2 linked regions of the Anolis sagrei genome follow. The main gene of each other region encodes a partner of the protein of the gene in region 2 in a complex. Links are inferred from orthologs where the notes say so. Each region holds a gene or a part of one and is shown on either strand. Other genes may lie near its edges. The genes, in order: CNN1 and PRKG1.

The links.
Region 1: PRKG1 (region 2) and CNN1 share a complex: the UniProt entries of both Homo sapiens proteins name them as parts of the cGMP kinase signaling complex. The link is inferred for Anolis sagrei from reciprocal best matches to the Homo sapiens genes PRKG1 and CNN1.

The regions. Positions count from the first base shown.
Region 1 is NC_090022.1:163,337,918-163,347,879, forward strand, and holds the start of CNN1 (calponin-1), read right to left. Parts: upstream 3,827-9,962; 5' UTR 3,700-3,826; coding exon 3,637-3,699; intron 1-3,636. UniProt on the Homo sapiens protein: Thin filament-associated protein that is implicated in the regulation and modulation of smooth muscle contraction. It is capable of binding to actin, calmodulin and tropomyosin. The interaction of calponin with actin inhibits the actomyosin Mg-ATPase activity.
Region 2 is NC_090023.1:181,874,251-181,884,285, forward strand, and holds the start of PRKG1 (cGMP-dependent protein kinase 1), read right to left. Parts: upstream 4,114-10,035; 5' UTR 3,799-4,113; coding exon 3,428-3,798; intron 1-3,427. UniProt on the Homo sapiens protein: Serine/threonine protein kinase that acts as a key mediator of the nitric oxide (NO)/cGMP signaling pathway. GMP binding activates PRKG1, which phosphorylates serines and threonines on many cellular proteins.

The sequences.
Region 1 (9,962 bases), on a different chromosome or scaffold from region 2:
TCGCACTATCTCTTGGCGGATATCCTATCTCGGCAACTGTATTGCACACTTATGTGCTTTGGCAACACTTGCTGACCACTGCAAGGTGCTGCAGTGTGTCTTGCCAGCTTCTTGGGATGAACCTAATGAATCTCCTTAGCCCTCAGATACCTAACCTGCAAGGAGGAGAATTGCTTGTCCAAGCAAGAAGTGTGTGGATGCCTAGAAGATGTAGGTTTTGGCCTGGTCAGGGTTGTAGCCATCCAGGGGCGGCTCAACCCATTACTCAAAGTAAGCATTTGCAGTATAGTTGATTTTGCCCAGGGGCGCTCTTGAGGCGCTCTTGGGGGAAGATAGACTTTGACACATGCGAGTTGTAGTTACTGGAATGTATAGTTCACCTACAATCAAAGAGCACTCTGAACTCCACCAATGATGGAATTGAACCAAATATGGCACACAGAACTCCCACGACGAACAGAAAATATATATCAGTGATTGGTTAGGCGGGGGGGGGGGGGGGGGGTGGTGCCAAAATACTGTTTGCTTACCGTTGAAAATTACCTAGGGCCGCCTCTGTAGCCATCTATATCTATATGTATATATCTATATCTATATGTGGGTTGATGATATTGCCCCATCAATAAGATTTTTGCCTCCCTTCATGAAATGTTATTTCAGTCCTCAAATTGCTAGTATTGCAGAGAGCGAGACACTGAAAATCATTTCATAGAATCCTAGAGTTGGAAGAGACCTCATGGGCCATCCAGTCCAACCCCCTGCCAAGAAGCAGGAAAATTGCATTCAAAGCACCCCCGATAGATGGCCATCCAGCCTCTGTTTAAAAGCTTCCAAAGAAGGAGCCTCCACCACACTTCGGGGCAGAGAGTTCCACTGCTGAACGGCTCTCACAGTCAGGAAGTTCTTCCTAATGTTCAGATGGAATCCACTTAGAAATCCTCTGTTTGTTGTGTTGGCATTCACTTGGGAATTGTGCCTGCCCCTTTGCTTTGGATGACTAAACTCTATCTTTAAACTGCTAAACTGAGTTATTGTAATTTGGGTATTGAAGGAAGGAAAATGTCATGTGGGACAACATTCTTATTTGGGGAACAACACCTTGGTTTTAAACCTGCCTCCCCCCAACCCCCCATGCTACCACCATGGATCTGGTCAGTGTGGGATAGAAACCTATCTGAGGTTCTCCTTCTATCTGTGTGAAATACCTCCTGAAGTTTCATTTTCCCCAAACTCCACCATGTTCACATTTGGGCATATTGAGGTTTCATGTAGAGTTTGGTCCAGATCCATCATTGTTTGAGTCCACAATGATCTCTGGATATAGGTGAACTACAACTCCAAAACCAAAGGACATTGCCCACCAAACCCTTCCAATATTTTCTGTTGGTCAGGGGAGAACTGTGTGCCAAGTTTGGTTCAATTCCATCGTTGGTGGGGTTCAGAATGCTCTTTGATTGTAGTTGAACTATAAATCCCAGCAACTACAACTCTCAAATGACAAAATCAATGTTTTTGAGTGAAGAACATACATTGGGTTGTTAGGTGTCTTGTGTCCAAATTTGGCGTCAATTCGTCCAGTGGTTTTTGAGTTCTGTTAATCCCACAAACGAACATTACATTTTTACTTATAAAGACTAGCTGTCCCCTGCCACGCGTTGCTGTGGCCCCGGTCTGTGTATGTATATATATTTGTGTATATGTGTATATATATGTGTGTGCGTGTGTGTGGTTATGCGCATGCGTTGTAATTTTTTTTTTTTGCTTTTTAAGTCTCTTCCACTGTGTTTTTCAGTGTTTTTATGAGTGATAGTCACTCGTTGGCCTCATACGTGTCTTGTGTCCAAATTTGGTGTCAATTCACCCAGTGGTTTTTCAGTTATGTCAATCCCACAAACGAACATTACATTTTTATTTATATAGATGTCTTGTAAGGATTAATGAGTCTGAAAGAATGTTTGTGAATCAGTTTGAACATGTGTGTTCCAAGAATAATACTTTGCTTTCGTTTGATGCCTTGAATCCACTTACAGCAAACTAGCTTTTGGTGCCTCCGACTCCTTCAGGAAAATAGGATCGTCCCAGGCTGTTATCTATGCCTAAATAGTGTTGAGGCACCAGTTCTTGTCTGATCTTGGAAACTAAGCAGAGTCAGCCCTGAGTAATATCTTGATGGGAGATGACCAACGAACACCAGGTGCTACATGAAGGAACTGTCAAAACCATATGAATATTCCTGGCCTAAGAAAACCCTAGTAAACTCATGGGGTCACCATAGGTGGACAGGTGACTTCAAGGTAAACACACATGCTTGGGAGTGATCCTGGACTCATCACTGAGCCTGGAACCCCAGGTCTCGGCGGTGGTCGGGAGACCTTTTGCACAATTAAAACTTGTGCACCAGTTGCGCCCGTACCTTGGGAAGTCTGATCTGGCCACAGTGGTCCACGCTCTCATTACATCCCGAATAGATTACTGCAACGCACTCTACTTGAGGTTGCCTTTGAAGACTGTTCGGAAACTTCAATTAGTCCAGCGGGTAGCAGCTAGATTACTCACCGGAGCATCATACAGGGAGCATACCACCCCTCTGTTATGTCAGCTCCACTGGCTGCCGATCCACTTCCGAGCACAATGCAAAGTGCGGGTTTAGACCTATAAAACCCTATATGGTTCTGGCCCAGCGTATCTGTCCGAACGCATCTCCCTCTACGTCCCGCCTCGGAGTTTAAGATCTTCTGGGGAGGCACTGCTCTTGGCCCCACCTCTATCACAAGTGAGATTGGTGGGGACGAGGAGCAGGGCCTTCCCAGTGGTGGCCCCTCACCTGTGGAACTCACTCCCTGGGGAAATTAGGTCATCAACATCCCTCCTCTCCTTTAGAAGGAAATTAAAAACATGGATTTGGGACCAGGCCTTCGGGTAATCTGGCGGATAGATAAGGGACAAGTGACGACTAGAATTGATGGATTGGACAATATGGAATTTGAATTTACGGACTCTGAGCTGATAAACGTTGAGCACTAGATTGTTTTTAGGGATTGTGATGTAAAATGGATTGTTTTAATTACTATTTATATGTGTTATTTTTCACCTTGTTGTTCTGCCGGCGTCAAATTGTGCCTTTTTGTAAGCCACCCTGAGTCCCCCCTCGGGGGTTGAGAAGGGCTGGGTAGAAGTGCGAGAAATACATAAATAAATAAAAATTTGTAAAAAGAGCTACACAAATTCTACCTGTTATATTAACATTGACTTTGTTCACTCCAAAACATTTTAGCCAAAACTCTGACATATTCATCACTCAGAATTATTATGTGAATGTGTGGCCTTTTTTTGTCCGGTTCACGTTGGTTTCCCACACAATGCCTTGGATTATAACCCCCATCACTCCCAGTCACCTAGCCTTGGATGATGGAGATGTAGCTGAAAATATTTGGACAGCACCATAAGACTGATGCCAGCCAGTACCTACCAAGAAAGACCATGGCACGCACTTAGGTGCCCTAGACTTGCGGGCATCCTGATACCACTAGATCCGCAAGCCAACTGGTACTGTCCCCATCCTCTCAATCAAGAACCACCTTCCCATGGAGTGAACTCCCAGTGCTAGGTCAGCACCTCCAGCAGTACTTCCCTTACCTTATTCTTGACTTCAGCTGACATGCCATAGGCTGGGCCCCGGTTGAAGTGTGTTGCAGACATATTGCCCACGTGTGGTGCTGGTGGCAGTGATGGTGCTGCTCCTCAGTGGGGTTGGGTGCTCTCCGTGGTGCACGTCGGCTCTGCCTCTCCACCGGCTTTCCCTGCAACTTTTAAAAACTCATTGCTCTCCGGCTCTCCCCCTCCTCCTATCTGAGGGGGAGTCCTTCCATTGGCCCGGCTGCGTGGCCAATCGCCACCTGCCAGGGATGCTGATGTCAGCCTGTTGGTATTAAGAAATGATGGTGTCATTTTTTCCACCTTGGAGGGGGTGCTGTGGGGTTGGGGGGGGGACACATATCCACTTCTGCTGCTGACTCAATTCCCTGAGATATTCTAAATATTTACAGGAGCCCGAATCTGTGAGAAGTGGGGAAGCAGTGATGGGATGGGACCAGTTGGCAGAGCATCCCCAGCCCATAGCTCTCCCCCTGCCCCTTGTGGCACTGCCCCCTGCCCCTCTCACTCCACTACTTCTGTGTCTTCCCCAGCTTTCTGCTTCTGTGTGGCTGTTCATCTGTGGGGAAGCCCCCCTTCTCTTTCAGCATCTTTCCCAAGGAAAGCATCTACGCCACTCACTTTCCTTTTTTTTCATGCCTCAAAACCGCAAAAGAACAAGCTAGAAAATTCGAGTCCAGTCACTCAGGGGGAAGCGCTTTGTTGGCTGTCTGGCCAGGCCTCCCTGGACTTTTCTGCACCAGTTCCCTTTGCCTCGTCATCTTGTTTGGTTTTTTTTCAACTCACATGTTGCTTTGGCAGCTGGTAGGGCTCCGTTTCTTTTCCTGCAAAGAACTTTCCCCAAAGTTTCTGCATGGAACAGTTTAACGTGACACTTTCCCCCTAAACAGATCTGACTGTCGACTTCAAGAGTCTGATATTTCTAGATAAGAAATCCTTGCTGAATGTAGCTTAGCTCTTGCTGCTGAGAATTCAGATGGGGGGGGGGGGGGGTTGAGGGTATGTGAACCAACAAACATTCCTGGCCAAAAGAGCTTGTTGAGATATCTGTGGTCATTTCACAGATTTTGTTGTTCATTCGTTCAGTCGTCTCCAACTCTTCGTGACCTCATGGACCAGCCCACGCCAGAGCTCCCTGTCGGCTGTCACCACCCCCAGCTCCTTCAAGGTCAGTCCAGTCACTTCAAGGATGCCATCCATCCATCTTGCCCTTGGTCAGCCCCTCTTCCTTTTACCTTCCACTTTCCCCAGCATAATTGTCTTCTCTAGGCTTTGCTGTCTCCTCATGATGTTGCCAAAGTACTTCAACTTTGTCTCTAGTATCCTTCCCTCCAGTGAGTGGGCTTTATTTCCTGGAGGATGGACTGGCTGGATCTTCTCGCAGTCCAAGGCATTCTCAGCACTTTCCTCCAGCACCACAGCTCAAAAGCATCGATCTTCCTTCGCTCAGCCTTCCCTAAGGTCCAGCTCTCACATCCGTAGGTTACTACAGGGAATACCATGGCTTTGACTCTGCGGATCTTTGTTGCCAGTCTGATGTCTCTACTCTTTACTATTTTATCGAGATTGGACATTGCTCTCCTCCCAAAAAGTAAGCGTCTTCTGATTTCCTGGCCACAGTCGGCATCTGCAGTAATCTTTGCACCTAGAAATACAAAGTCTGTCACAGCCTCCACATTTTCTCCCTCTATTTTCCAGTTGTCAATCATTCTTGTTGCCATAATCTTGTTGCCATAATGCCATAATTACACAGATATATAAACCCATTTTCCTACTTTCAGCAGACCTCACTACCTCTGAGGATGGTTGCCATAGATGCAGGCGAGACGTCAGGAGAAAATGCCTCTAGAACATGGCCATATAGCCCAGAAAAACTTACAACAACCCAGTGATTCCAGCCATGAAAGCCTTCGACAATACATTGTTGAGATGTGTTTTCAAAAGCACGTGGTGCCTGCTGCGAAAATATTTAAAATGTGCATTTAATATGGCATGCTTTTAAAGAAAAAGATGGACCACTTTCAGGATGACAGGAGACAGAAATGGGGAATTAGAACCTTTTTGCTAAGGAGCAGCAGTACTTTTAGCAAGTGTAAGAACACCCTTCCCATTAAATAAACACTAATCTATATAAATAAAAATGTAATGTTTGGGGGAAATAGACCTTGACATAGAATCATAGAGTTGGAAGAGGGAGCCTCCACCACCCTCTGGGGCAGAGAGTTCCACTGCTGAATGGCTCTCACAGACAGGAAGTTCTTCCTCATGTTCAGATGGAATATCCTTTCTTGTCTATATAAATAAAAATGTAATGTCCATTTGTAGGATTAACAGAACTCAAAAACCACTGGACAAATTGACACTAAATTTGGACAGCATAAACCTAACAACCCAATGTATGTATTTCACTCAAAAAATTTGATTTTGTCATTTGGGAGTTGTAGTTGCTGGGATTTATAGTTCACCTACAATCAAACAGCATTCTGAACTCCACCAATGATGGAATTGAACCAAATGTGGCATACAGGACTCCAATGATCAACAAACAACACTAGAAGTGTTTGGTGGACATTGGCCTTGAGTTAGGGAGTTGTAGTTCACCCGCATCCAGAGAGCACTGTGGACTTAAACAATGATAGATCTGGACCAAACTTGGCACAAATATTCCATATGTCAAAATATGAACACAGATGGAGTTGGGGGGAAATAGACATTGACATTTGGGAGTTGTAGTTACTGGGATTTATAGTTTACCTACAATCAAAGAGCGTTCTGAACCCCACCAACAGAATTGGGGCAAACATCCCACACAAAACCCCCATGACCAAGAGTCCACAGTGCTCTCTGGATGTAGGTGAACTACAACTCCCAAACTCATCAATGCCCGCCAAACCCTTCTAGTGTTTTCTCTTGGTCATGGGAGTTCTGTCTGCCAAGATTGGTTCAGTTCCATCATTGGTGGAGTTCAAAATGCTCTTTGATTGTAAATAAACTATAAATCCCAGCAACTACAACTCCCAAATGACAAAATCAATTTTTTTGAGTGAAGGACATACATTGGGTTGTTAGGTGTATGCTGTCCAAATTTGGTGTCAATTTGTCCAGTGGTTTTTGAGTTCTGTTAATCCCACAAACAAACATTACATTTGTATTTATATAGATAAAAAACTATGGATTGCTCTTAAAGAAATGGGTATGCCCTAACATTTGATTGTTTTGTACTAAAAACAAGAGGCTACTGTTAAGAACAGAATATGGAGCATCTGAATGGCTTCCTGTTTGTAAGGAGCTAAGCCATTTCATCGATTATACTCAAATGCTGAACATAACATATCTAAAGCGAATTAGATGCAGAAGGAGGAGGCATGAATACTTGAGGAAGGAACATCAACAATTTAAGATATGTAGATGATGCAATATTACTAGGAGAAAATAGCAAAGTCTTGGAATGATCACTAAAGAAAGAAAGTGCAATGGCAGGTTTATAGCTCAACATTAAGAAAATAAAAATGATTTATATACCTTTAAAGTAGACAGGTGTTGGAATAATTCAAGTTTTTCCACACCTTGGCTCAGTCATTAATCAGAATGGAGGCTGTAGTTGAGAAATTGGAAGGCCAACTATAAAAAAATTAGACAAGATCTTGAAGGATATATATCATAGAATACTAAAGTTAGGATTGTCCATGTCTTTGTATTTACCATTTCTATCTATGGTTGTGAAAGCAAGACAGTGAAGAAAGCAGATGGGTAGAACATCAGCTCATATGCAATGTGGTTGTGTAAAAGAGTTCCATGTTACCATGGATTGCTAAAAGGACAAATAAATGGATCCTAGAAAAAAATCTTGAATTCTTTTAGAAGCTAAGATGACTAAACGGAGGATGCGGTACTTCGGTCTATAATGGAAAAGCAAGAAAAGACAATAACACTTGTTAAATAGAAGGTAATCAGAAAAGAAGTGAATAAACTTGATAAGGAAGCCACGGATCTGAGCCTGGAAGACCTGAGCATTGTTGTTGTTGATAAGGTGACCTGGGTTGTATTTTATTGTTTACCTGTGCAGCATTGAATTTTTGCCAGATTTGTAAGCCACCTTGAGTCCTCTTCAGGGTCGAGAAAGGCGGGGTAGAAATGAAGTAAATATGTGATGGCGCGAGTGGCGCCACCTATGTGTAGAACTGTTGCAAGATTTAAACTGTTGTTTATACCTGTATTGTTTGGCTCCGCCTCTTCCTGGAGGAGGGGAGTGCTTCCCTTTTCATTCTGCCATCAGAGTTTCTATCGGATGGACGTGAGTAAGAGACTTGGCTCTAAAAGCCCCTGCTTAAATTACCTCTCAGCAACAGTTCTGAGGTTTTTTACCCTTGAGACTTATGCTTCATGTTCAGACCAACCTGAACGACGTTAGAAGTTTCAAGCGCCTTCAAACCGGTTCTTTTGGCACCAGAGGAAGATCCTGGGTCTTCAAACATAGGCCATTTGAACTGGGGTTGTGGTTTGCTCCGGCATTCACAGCCATTGAGGAAAGAGGAAACAGGAAAAGCTTCTCAGCTACAAACTCCTTGGACTTCAGAGATTGTAAAGTATATTTCCTTTATCCCTGTTGAAACATCAAGCTTATGCCTGAGAAAGATAACTCATTGTGAACAATAAATACCATTTCGAGTTATCTGTTGTGTTTCGGTCTTTGGTAGTTCCAGTTTCCTATAGGAGGGCAAGAAACAATCCCCTGGGGAAAGATGCCACGTCCATGCCTCTCTCATTAAGAGTTATAGCCCCCAGGCTATTTTCCCACTGGAGCGATACCTATTGATCTATTCACATTTGCATGTTTTCGAACTGCTAGGTTGGCAGAAGCTGGGGCTAACAGTGGAAGCTCATGCTGCTCCCTGGATTCGAACCTGTGACCTTTCGGTCAACAAGCTTAGCAACTCAGTGGTTTGAGCCACTGTGCCGCCAGGAGCTCCCGTGATGTCTCTACTCTTCACTATTTTATCGAGATTGGACATTGCTCTCCTCCCAAGAAGTAAACGTCTCCTGATTTCCTGGCTGCAGTCTACGTCTGAAGTAATCTTTGCACCTAGAAATATAAAGTTTGTCACTACCTCAATGTTTTCTCCCTTTATTTGCCAGTTATCAATCAATCTGGTTGCCATAATCTTGGTTTTTTTTATGTTTAGCTGCAACCCAGCTTTTGTGCTGTCTTCTTTCACCTTGATTACAAGGCTCCTCAGCTCCTTCTCACTTTTGGCCATCAAAGTGGTATCATCTGCATATCTAAGGTTGTTAATGTTTCTTCCAGCAATTTTCACCCCAGCCTTGCATTCCTCAAGCCCCGCACATCGCATGATGTGATCTGCATACAAGTTGAATAGGTTGGGTGAGAGGATACAACCCTGTGGTACGCCTTTCCCAATCTTGAACCAGTCTGTTGTTCCATGGTCAGTTCTTACTGTTTCTATTGGTCATTATATGAGGGGTATTTTTTAAGCAAGGTCCGTTTGAACGTAAGTACACAACGAAAGTTTATTTCAAAAAAGTAAATTTATTTTCATAAAGTACATACTTCACTCTATTTTTCGACATAGTTGCCAAGTTTGTTCAAACACTTATCATACCTCTGAACCAATTTTAAAATACCCTCTTCATAAAAACTTGTCGCCTGCTCCGATAACCAAGAGTTCACTGTAATCAGAGAAGGGCGACCGGAGCAGTCCTCATCATGGACGTTGTCACGGCCATCTTTGAATTGTCGTACCCACTTACGGACTTTGCTTTCACTCATAACAGTATCACCGTACACTTCACAAATCTGTCGATGAATTTCTGCAGCAGGCAGGTTCCTTGCTGACAAAAACCGTATCACTGAGCGAACCTCACATGCGGAGGGTGAGTTGATAGTCTTAAACATTTTTAAAGCGCAGGACAGAACCGTACAGGTTAGCTACAAAGCGGAAACTGCGCACAGTTGTTCCTGAGGCATGCCGGTACATGACGCATGCACTCGTTGCAGTATGCACTCGTACTACTAGTGTCTACAACAAAACGGACCTTACTTAAAAAATACCCCTCGTATATTATACATTATACTTGGTCATTATACCTTCCCTACAATGGGAAAATCCAGTCTCAACATTTTAGGCAGAATTGTGCATCCTTGCGACTAATAAGCAAAAGCTCATTAGCAGATGTACTTCTGAAGAGAGGGAATTCCACATTCTTGGAAAAAGCTATTTTATGTGTCTAGTGGATCTGTAATCCTTTGAAGGTAATGCTACTGAGCACTACAAAAACTTTCCTTTTTT
Region 2 (10,035 bases):
GGTAAAGGCTTCCCCAGACTTTGTCTAGTCACATCCGACTCTGGGGGTAATGCTCATCCCCATTTCTAAGCCAAAGAGCCAGCATTGTCCGTAGACGCCTCCAAGGTCATGTGGCCAGCATGACTGCACGGAGTGCTGTTATCTATTGATCTAGTCACATTTGCATATTTTCAAACTGCTAGGTTGGCAGAGGCTGGGGCTAACAGCAGGAGCTCACCCCATCCCGAGGATTCAAACCACCAACCTTTCGGTCAGCAAGTTCAGCAGCTCAGTGGTTTAACCCACTGCGCCACCAGGAGGCATTTAGACTCATATAACCCAGTTCTAAGCATATACTCTGGGACCATATCCTGGAATATAACGCAGTGTAGATCCAGCCTCACTGTGTGTGTGTGTTTGTTTGGTTGTGTGTATTTATATATATACACATACATACAAAGAGGTGTCCAAGAGTTCCTTCTAAGGAATGTTTATAAAATATTGTAAGGAATCTTTTGTAAGTCAAGGTACCCCAAGTCACCCTATGTGTGGGACTACAAAAGGGCCAAGAGAGAGGACACTGCCCTATATCCCAGGATCTGATCCCAGATTATCTGGGAGCATAGACTCATATAACCAAGTCCAAAGCAAATACTCTGGCATAAGATCCCGGGATATAGGGCAGTGTAGCTCCAGCCTCTCTCTGTGCGTGTGTAGAGAGAGGGGGGAAGGGTGGCCAAGAGTTCCTTCTATGGAATAGTTTTGTTTGTAAAATCTTGTAAGGAATTCTTTGTAAATCAAGGTACCCCCAAGTCTCCCTATGAGTGGGACTGCAAAAGAGCACTGCACTATATCTCAGGATTTGACTTCAGATTATTTGGCTGTGTAGACTCATATAACCTGGCCCAAAGCATATACGTTGGGATCAGATCCTGGGATATAGGACAGTGTAGATCCAGCCTCATTTTGTGTGTAGAGGGGGGGGGGGGGGGATGGCTAAGACTTCCTTCTAAAAATAAGGGGTTTTTTTTTTTGTAAAATACTAAAATTGGCTAAAAGGTCCTTCTAAGGCAGTGGTTCTCAACCTGGGGTCCCCAGATGTTTTTGGCCTTCAACTCCCAGAAATCCTAATAGCTGGTAAACTGGCTGAGATTTCTGGGAGTTGTAGGCCAAAAACATCTGGGGACCCCAGGTTGAGAACCACTGCTCTAAGGAATAGTTTTTTGTTTTGTTTTGTTTTTTGCAAAATATTGTAAGGAATCCTTTGTAAATCAAGGTACCCTCAAGTCTCCCTATGTGTGGCACTGCAAAAGGGCACACTGGACTATATCTCAGGATCTGACTTCAGATTATCTGACTGTGTAGACTCACATAATCCTGTCCAAAGCATATACTTTGGGATCAGATCCTGGAATATAGGGCAGTGTAGATCCAGCCTCACTCTGTGTAGAGAGAGAGAGAGAGAGAGAGAGGAGGAGAGGGGTGGCCAAGAGTTCCTTCTATGGAATAGTTTTGTTTGTAAAATATTGTAAGGAATCCTTTGTAAATCAAGGTACCCCCAAGTCTCCCTATGCGTGGGACTGCAAAAGCGCACTGGACTATATCTCAAGATCTGACTTCAGATTATCTGGCTGTGTAGACTCATATAATCCAGTTCAAAGCATATACTGAGATATAGGGCAGTAGATCTCCCTATGTGTGGGACTGCAAAAGGGCACTGCACTATATCTCAGGATCTGACTTCAGATTATCTGGCTGCAGGGGCGGCTCATCCATTACGCGAAGTAAGCGGTCGCAGAACACTTTTTTTTGCCAGGGGCGCCGAGGCACCTCTGTAAATGCCCCTCGACCACCACTTGAGGAGCACCCCCTCAGCTCACAACAGCCATAGCAGTCCGGGGGGAGCCTCGGCTTTCTTGCCTCACTGCTGGGAGATCCTCATCCCAAAGGGGCCGGGCCCTTGACCCTCGCCTCGCCCTGCTCGTTCCTGCTCCACCCGGCTACCGGATGCATGAGCAGCGCCGGCGCTCAATCATTCTCCGCGTTCGATCCCTTCCCCATGACCGGCTCCCTTTCCCGATCCCCCAGCGCTCCACTCGCCTCCTCTCCTCTCCCCAATCCGTGGGTGGGCCAAGGGGGGGAGCCGCCGCACCTGGCCCGCTTTGGGTCCGGAGGCGTGTCTGAAGACCCCAGCATGTGCACCAAAAGTTGCCTCTTCTCCTGACTTTCTCTTTAGCCATTGGGACCAAGAGAGAGAGAGAGAGAGAGAGAGAGAGAGCCCCTCCGGCTGGAGGTATCTCCCACCTCTGCTTCCTCCTTTGTTTTTGCGCCTACTTTCAGGAAAGGTGGGCATCTCCACCTCTCTCTCTCTCTCTCTCTCTCTCTTGGTCCCAATGGCTGAGGAGAAAGTCAGGAGAAGAGGTGACTTTTGGTGCACACGCTGGGGTCTTCAGGCACGCCTCCGGACCCAAAGCGGGCCAGGCAAGGGAGCAAGTGCAGCAAGTGTAGTTACTGGGATGTATAGTTCACCTACAATCAAAGAGCATTCTGAACTCCACCAATGATGGGATTGAACCAAATATGGCACGCTGAACTCCCATGACAAACAGAAAATATATATCAATGCTTGGTTGGGGGGGGGGGGCGCCAAAATACTGTTTGCTTACCGTTGAAAATTACCTAGGGCCGCCTCTGTCTGGCTGTGTAGACTCATATAATCCCGTCCAAAGCATATACTTTGGGATCAGATCCTGGGATATAGGGCAGTGTAGATCCAGCCTCACTGTGTGTGTGTGTGTGTGTAGAGAGAGAGAAGGGAAGGGTAGCCAAGAGTTCCTTCTATGGAATAGTTTTGATTGTAAAATATTGTAAGGAATCCTTTGTAAATCAAGGGACCCCCGAGTCTCCCTATGAGTGGGACTGCAAAGAGCACTGCACTATATCTCAGGATTTGACTTCAGATTATCTGGCTTTAAAGACTCATATAATCCAGTCCAAAGCATATACTGAGATATAGGGCAGTGTAGATCTCCCTATGTGTGGGACTGCAAAAGGGCACTGCACTATATCTCAGGATCTGACTTCAGATTATCTGGCTGTGTAGACTCATATAATCCAGTCCAAAGCATATACTGAGATATAGGGCAGTGTAGATCTCCCTATGTGTGGGACTGCAAAAGGGCACTGCACTATATCTCAGGATCTGACTTCAGATTATCTGGCTGTGTAGACTCATATAATCCCGTCCAAAGCATATACTTTGGGATGAGATCCTGGTATACAGGGCAGTGTAGATCCAGCTGTGTGCGCCTGAAGGTGGCTCTGGGGAATGTGGGCGCAAAGTGATTGTAGAGGAAGGAGAGATGGGGGGGAAGCCAGACAAGACACAGACACAGAGAGAGACACACAGAGACAGAGACAGGGACCCCTCGAGGCGGTGGGTGCTTACTGCGGGCTCTTGGGGTAGAAGGGCAGGGTGACGTGGCTGAGGTCCTGGAGGTCGAAGGCGGTGGGCTCGGCGGAGATGGCCTGCCGCTTGGTCCGCTGCTCGCCCCCTCCTCCTCCGCTTCCTCCTCCTCCTCCTCCACCCCCACCGCCTCCTCCTCCTCCCCCGGGCAGGGCTCCAGCGGCCCCCTGGTGCGCCTGCTGGGTGGCCGGCCGGATCACGGAGCGGTACTTGTCCAGCTCGTTCTGGAGCCGCTGGATGAGCTCGTCCTTCTGGTCCAGCTCCAGCTCCAGCTCGTCGATGAGCGCGTCCCGCTGGCGGAGCTCCTCGATCTTCTCTTGCAAGGCGTACTGCAAATCCCGCAGCGTCCCCATCCTCGAAGGGAGCCGCCAACGCCGCCGCCGCCGACGGAGCCACCTCTCCCCCTCCGCCTCGTCCCACTTCGCGCCAACTTTGCCTGTTGGACTGTTGCTGCTACTCGCCGCTTCCTAGGGGAAGGGAGCCCCCATCCTGGGGAGAAGCCCACCACCCTCCTCCTCCTCCTCCTCCTCTCCGCCTGCTTGCCTGCGTCAGGCCACCAGACTGGAGAGAGACGGAGAGTGAGGAGGGAGCGCGAGGGGCGTCTGCAGCATGCCGCCGCTTTCTCTCTCCCTCCGCCGCCGCCGCCGCCGTTCCGCTATCCCGCCCGCGCCCCCGCCTCTCTTCTTCTTTCTCCTCCTCCTTCTCCTCAGCTGTTACGGCCGCCCCTCTTTCTCCCACCCCCCTTCTCCTCCTTCCTCCGCACAACTCAGCCTCGTAAGAAGAAGAAAAAGGAGGGAGAGGGCTGCATTCCGGGCGCCTTCCTGGCCCCCCAAAGACGGCGCGCGCCGCTTGTTGTGTTGCGTGTTTTCCCGCCGAAGCACGCGCTCTCTTCCGTCTCAGAGGAGAGAGAGAGATCAACCCTTGGAGAGTTCGAAGCGCGCGCGCGCTCGCTCGCGGTGGGGGGGGGAGGGGGAGAGGAGGCGCGGGGGCTTCTTTCCCTCTTCCCAGTCTTCTCTGACAGACTTTAATTTTTGGCGGGAAGTCGGCTTGAGCGCCTCACAAACAGTCCAAAAAACATACACACAACAGAACGTGCGTTAGCTGTCAAGCACAGGTGTCTTTCAACCACTCTGGCCCCGCCAATGGGCGCCTCTTCTTTGCAGAATTAGCTGTCCAGCACAGGTCCTGCCAATGGGTGCCCTAGTTCGATGCTATTGACAAACTGGTGGCCCTTCCACTCAGGGCCCTTCCACACAGCCCTTTATCCCAGGATATCAAGGCAGATAATCCCACATTAGGTTGTTGTAGGTTTTTTCGGGCTATAAGGCCATGTTTTAGAGGCATTCTCTCCTGACGTTGCACCTGCAGGTGCTTGTGGATTTCAATGGCTTCTCTGTGTAGTCTGACATGGTGGTTGTTAGCGTGGTCCAGCATTTCTGTGTTCTCAAATAATATGCTGTGTCCAGGCTTCCAACTCTCCAAGGCACTGCAGACTACTTCAACCAGAGAAGTCAGCCATAGCAGAGCACCTGATGAACAACCTGGACACAGCATATTATTTGAGAACACAGAAATGCTGGACCACTCTCACAACCACCATGTCAGACTACACAGAGAAGCCATTGAAATCCACAAGTGTGTGGACAATTTCAACAGAAATGAGGAAACCATGAAAATGAACAAAATGTGGCTACCAGTATTAAAAAAAAACTCTAAAATTAGAACAGCACAACAACAGAGAGGAAACAAACAAGGACATCTAATCACCTCTCAACAAAAGATTGCCTCAGTCATTGACAGGCCATCAAATGCTAATCAAGGTGCTCAGTTGAAACATTCACACCTAGCTCCAACAGACAAGAGTTCTTTGTCCCACCCTGGTCATTCCACAGATACATAAACCCACTTCCCTAGTTCCAACAGACCTCACTACCTCTGAGGATGCTTGCCATAGATGCAGGCGAAATGTCAGGAGAGAATGCCTCTAGAACATGGCCATATAGCCCGAAAAAACCTACAACAACCCAGTGATTCCAGCCATGAAAGCCTTCGACAATAAATCCCACATTATCCTAGTGTGGAATCAGATGTTGTTGTTGTTGTTCATTCGTTCAGTCGTTTCCGACTCTATGTGACCTCATGGACCAGCCCACACCAGAGCTCCCTGTCTGCTATCAACACCCCCAGCTACTTCAATGTCAAGCCAGTCACTTCAAGGATACAATCCATCCATCTTGCCCTTTGTTGGCCCCTCTTCCCTTTTCCTTCCATTTTCCCCAGCATAATTGTCTTCTCCAAGCTTTCCTTTCTTCTCACGATGTGGCCAAAGTACTTCATCTTTGCCTCTACTATCCTTCTCTCCAATGAGCGGTCGGGCTTTATTTCCTGAAGTATGGACTGGTTGGATCTTCTTGCGATCCAAGGCACTCTCAGAACTTTCCTCCAACACCACAGTTCAAAAGCATCTATCTTCTTTTGCTCAGCCTTCCCTATCGTCCAGCTCTCACATCCATGGGTGACAATGGGGAATACCATTGCTTTAACTATGCAGATCTTTGTTGCCAGTGTGATGTCTCTGTTCTTCACTATTTTATCAAGATTGGTCATTGCTCTCCTCCTAAGAAGTAAGCGTCTTCTGATTCCTGGCTGCAGTCTGCGTCTGCAGTAATATCTGCACCTAGAAATACAAAATCTGTTGCTGCCTCCACATTTTCTCCCTCTATTTCCCAGTTGTCAATCATTCTTGTTGCCATAATCTTGGTTTTTTTTTTTAATGTTTAGCTGTCACCCAGCTTTTGCGCTTTATTCTTTCACCTTGGTTAGAAGGCTACTCAGCTCCTCCTCGCTTTCGGCCATCAGAGTGGTGTCATCTGTATATCTAAGGTTGTTAATGTTTCTTCCAGCAATTTTCACCCCAGCTTTGCATTCCTCAAGCCCCGCACGTCGCATGATGTGTTCTGCATACAAGTTGAATAGGTTGGGTGAGAGTATGCAGCCTTGCCGTACGCCTTTCCCAATCTTGAACCAGTCTGTTGTTCCATGGCCAGTTCTTACTATTGCTACTTGGTCCTTATACAGATTCCTCAGGAGACAGACAAGGTGATTTGGTATTCCCATATCACCAAGAACTTGCCACAATATATGGCAGTGTGGAATCAGATAACCCAGTTCAAAGCAGATATTGTGGGATTTCCTGCCTTGATATCCTGGGATATATGGCTGTGTGGAAGGGCTCTCAGTCATATAACCCAGAATATCAAGGCAGATAATCCCATAATATTTGCTTCAAACTGGGTTATCCGAGTCCACACAGCCATATAATAAAACAGAAGATCAAGGCAGATAATCCACAATATCCACTTTAAATTGGGTTATCTGAGTCCACGCAGCTATATAATACAGGGCCTTTCCACACAGCAATATAACCCAGAATATCAAGACAGAAAATCTCACAGTGTCTGCTTTGAACTGAATTATCTGTGTCCACGTTGCCATATATTCCAGTTCAAAGCAGAAGATTTGGGATTTTATTCAGCTGTATGGATTTTCTGCCTTGATATTCTGAGTTATATGGCTGTGTGGAAAGGCCCCCAGAATATCAAGGCAGATAATCCGTAATACATGCTTTGAACTGGGCTATCTGGCTCCACACTGTCATTTAATCTACCTCAATGTGGATTTTATAAGGTTATGTGGAAGGGGCCTGGGTGTTGTCATTTTTGCAAGTTCTTCTGAGCATTCTCTACCCTCCTTTTCCGTACTACAACTACTTAAGATTTCATAGCATTGATCAACCATAGCAGTTTAAAAGTGGTGTTCAAACTGCCTTACCTTGATTGAAGCAGAGTTTTCCAAACTAATAGTGTGGTCTGCAGGAAAATGCCAAGAACATTACAGACAGTCTCCGGATTACAAACATCAGACTTACAAGTGGTCCATAGTTAAGAACGGGGGTGAGACAACAAGAAGGGAGAGGAATCTACCCCTCTGAAGGGAAATTCACTTTTGGAAGAGTTAGTTAAAGGTAAAGGTTTTCCCCTGACATTAAGTCCAGTCATCTCTGGGGGATGGTGTTCATCTCAATTTCTAAGCCGAAGAGCCGGCGTTGTCTGTAGACACCTCCAAGGTCATGTGGCCGGCATGACTGCATGGAGCGCCATTGGAAGAGTTATCATGTGGGAAGGCTGTCTCCACTGAAGATGTTTCACCAATCCTTAGTTCCAAAATATTCTCACAGGGACAGAAAGTGAGATTAAATCTTCTGAACAAAGACAGCAAAATAAACCCCAGAGTGTTAACCTTTCCGTATGTTATCCAAAACATGTGTGTGTGGCGGGAGTTACACATTAAAATGTACTTATTTTGACTTACAAACAAATTCAGCTTAGGAACAAACCTATAGAACCCATCTTGTTCGTAACTTGGGGACTGCCAGTCTTTCCAGTCAATAAGAGACATAGAAGGTTAGGACTGATCTGATTTATGAAACCCTTATGGCGCTCTGTAACAACTAATTGACAGCTCTGGGTATAAAAAATTGCACACATACAGCTTAATCCAATCTATATTTCTCACACAGATAATGATCCTGAAAGACAGTGCCTCTGTAACTTCCAAAGACCACGAAAGTTAAGTTTGTTGTTGTTCATTCGTTCAGTCGTCTCCGACTCTTCGTGACCTCATGGACCAGCCCACGCCAGAGCTCCCTGTCGGCCGTTACCACCCTCAGCTCTCTCAAGGTCAGTCCAGTCACTTCAAGGATGCCATCCATCCATCTTGCCCTTGGTCGGCCCCTCTTCCTTTTGCCTTCCACTTTCCCCAGCATAATTGTCTTCTCTAGGCTTTCCTGTCTCCTCATGATGTGGCCAAAGTACTTCAACTTTGTCTCTAGTATCTTTCCCTCCAGTGAGCAGTCGGGCTTTATTTCCTGGAGGATGGACTGGTTGGATCTTCTCGCAGTCCAAGGCACTCTCAGAACTTTCCTCCAGCACCACAGTTCAAAAGCATCGATCTTCCTTCGCTCAGCCTTCCCTAAGGTCCAGCTCTCACATCCGTAGGTGACTACAGGGAATACCATGGCTTTGACTAGGCGGATCTTTGTTGCCAGTCTGATGTCTCTACTCTTTACTATTTTATCGAGATTGGACATTGCTCTCCTCCCAAGAAGTAAGCGTCTTCTGATTTCCTGGCCACAGTCTGCATCTGCAGTAATCTTTGCACCTAGAAATACAAAGTCTGTCACGGCCTCCACGGTTTCTCCCTCTATTTCCCAGTTGTCAATCATTCTTGTTGCCATAATCTTGGTTTTTTTGACGTTTAGCTGCAACCCGGCTTTTGCGCTTTCTTCTTTCACCTTGATTAGAAGGTTCCTCAGCTCCTCCTCACTTTCGGCCATCAGAGTGGTGTCATCTGCATATCTGAGGTTGTTAATGTTTCTTCCAGCAATTTTCACCCCAGCTTTGCATTCATCCAGCCCCGCACATCGCATGATGTGTTCTGCATACAAGTTAAAACGGTTGGGTGAGAGGATGCAGCCTTGCCGTACGCCTTTCCCAATCTTGAACCAGTCTGTTGTTCCGTGGTCAGTTCTGACTGTTGCTACTTGGTCCTTGTACAGATTCCTCAGGAGAGAGACAAGGTGGCTTGGGATGCCCATCCCACTAAGAACTTGCCACAATTTATTATGATCCACACAGTCAAAGGCTTTAGAATAGTCAATGAAGCAGAAGTAGATGTTTTTCTGAAACTCCCTGCTTTTCTCCATTATCCAGCGGATATTGGCAATTTGGTCTCTCGTTCCTCTACCTTTTCTAAACCCAGCCTGAACATCTGGCAACTCTCGCTCCATGTATTGCTGGAGTCTTCCTTGCAGGATCTTGAGCATTACCTTACTGGCATGAGAAATAAGGGCCACTGTACGGAAGTTGGAGCAGTCTTTTGCATTTCCCTTTTTTGGTATGGGGATATAAGTTGATTTTTTCCAGTCTGATGGCCATTCTTGTGTTTTCCATATTTGCTGGCAAATGGCATGCATCACCTTGACAGCATCATCTTTTAAGATTTTAAACAGTTCAGCTGGGATCCCGTCGTCTCCTGCTGCCTTGTTGTTAGCAATGCTTCTTAAGGCCCATTCCACCTCACTCCTCAGGATGTCTGGTTCTAATTCATTCACCACACCGTCAAAACTATCCTCAATATTATTATCCTTCCTATACAGATCTTCTGTATAGTCTCGCCACCTTCTCTTGATCTCTTCAGCTTCTGTTAGGTCCCTGCCATCTTTGTTTCTTATCATATCAATTTTTGTCTGAAATTTACCTCCAATGTTTCTAATTTTCTGGAAGAGGTCTCTTGTCCTTCCTATTCTGTTGTCTTCTTCCACTTCCATGCATTGCTTATTTAAAAATAGTTCCTTATCTCTTCTGGCTAACCTCTGGAATTGCGTATTTAACTGGGCATATCTCCCCTTATCCCTGTTTCCTTTTGCTTTCCTCCTTTCTTGGGCTACTACGAAAGTTAAGAGATATAATAAAAAGAAAAGTAAACTGTGTGTCACAACCCAGTGTGTTGGCTGCAGTGCGCAGGTGTGT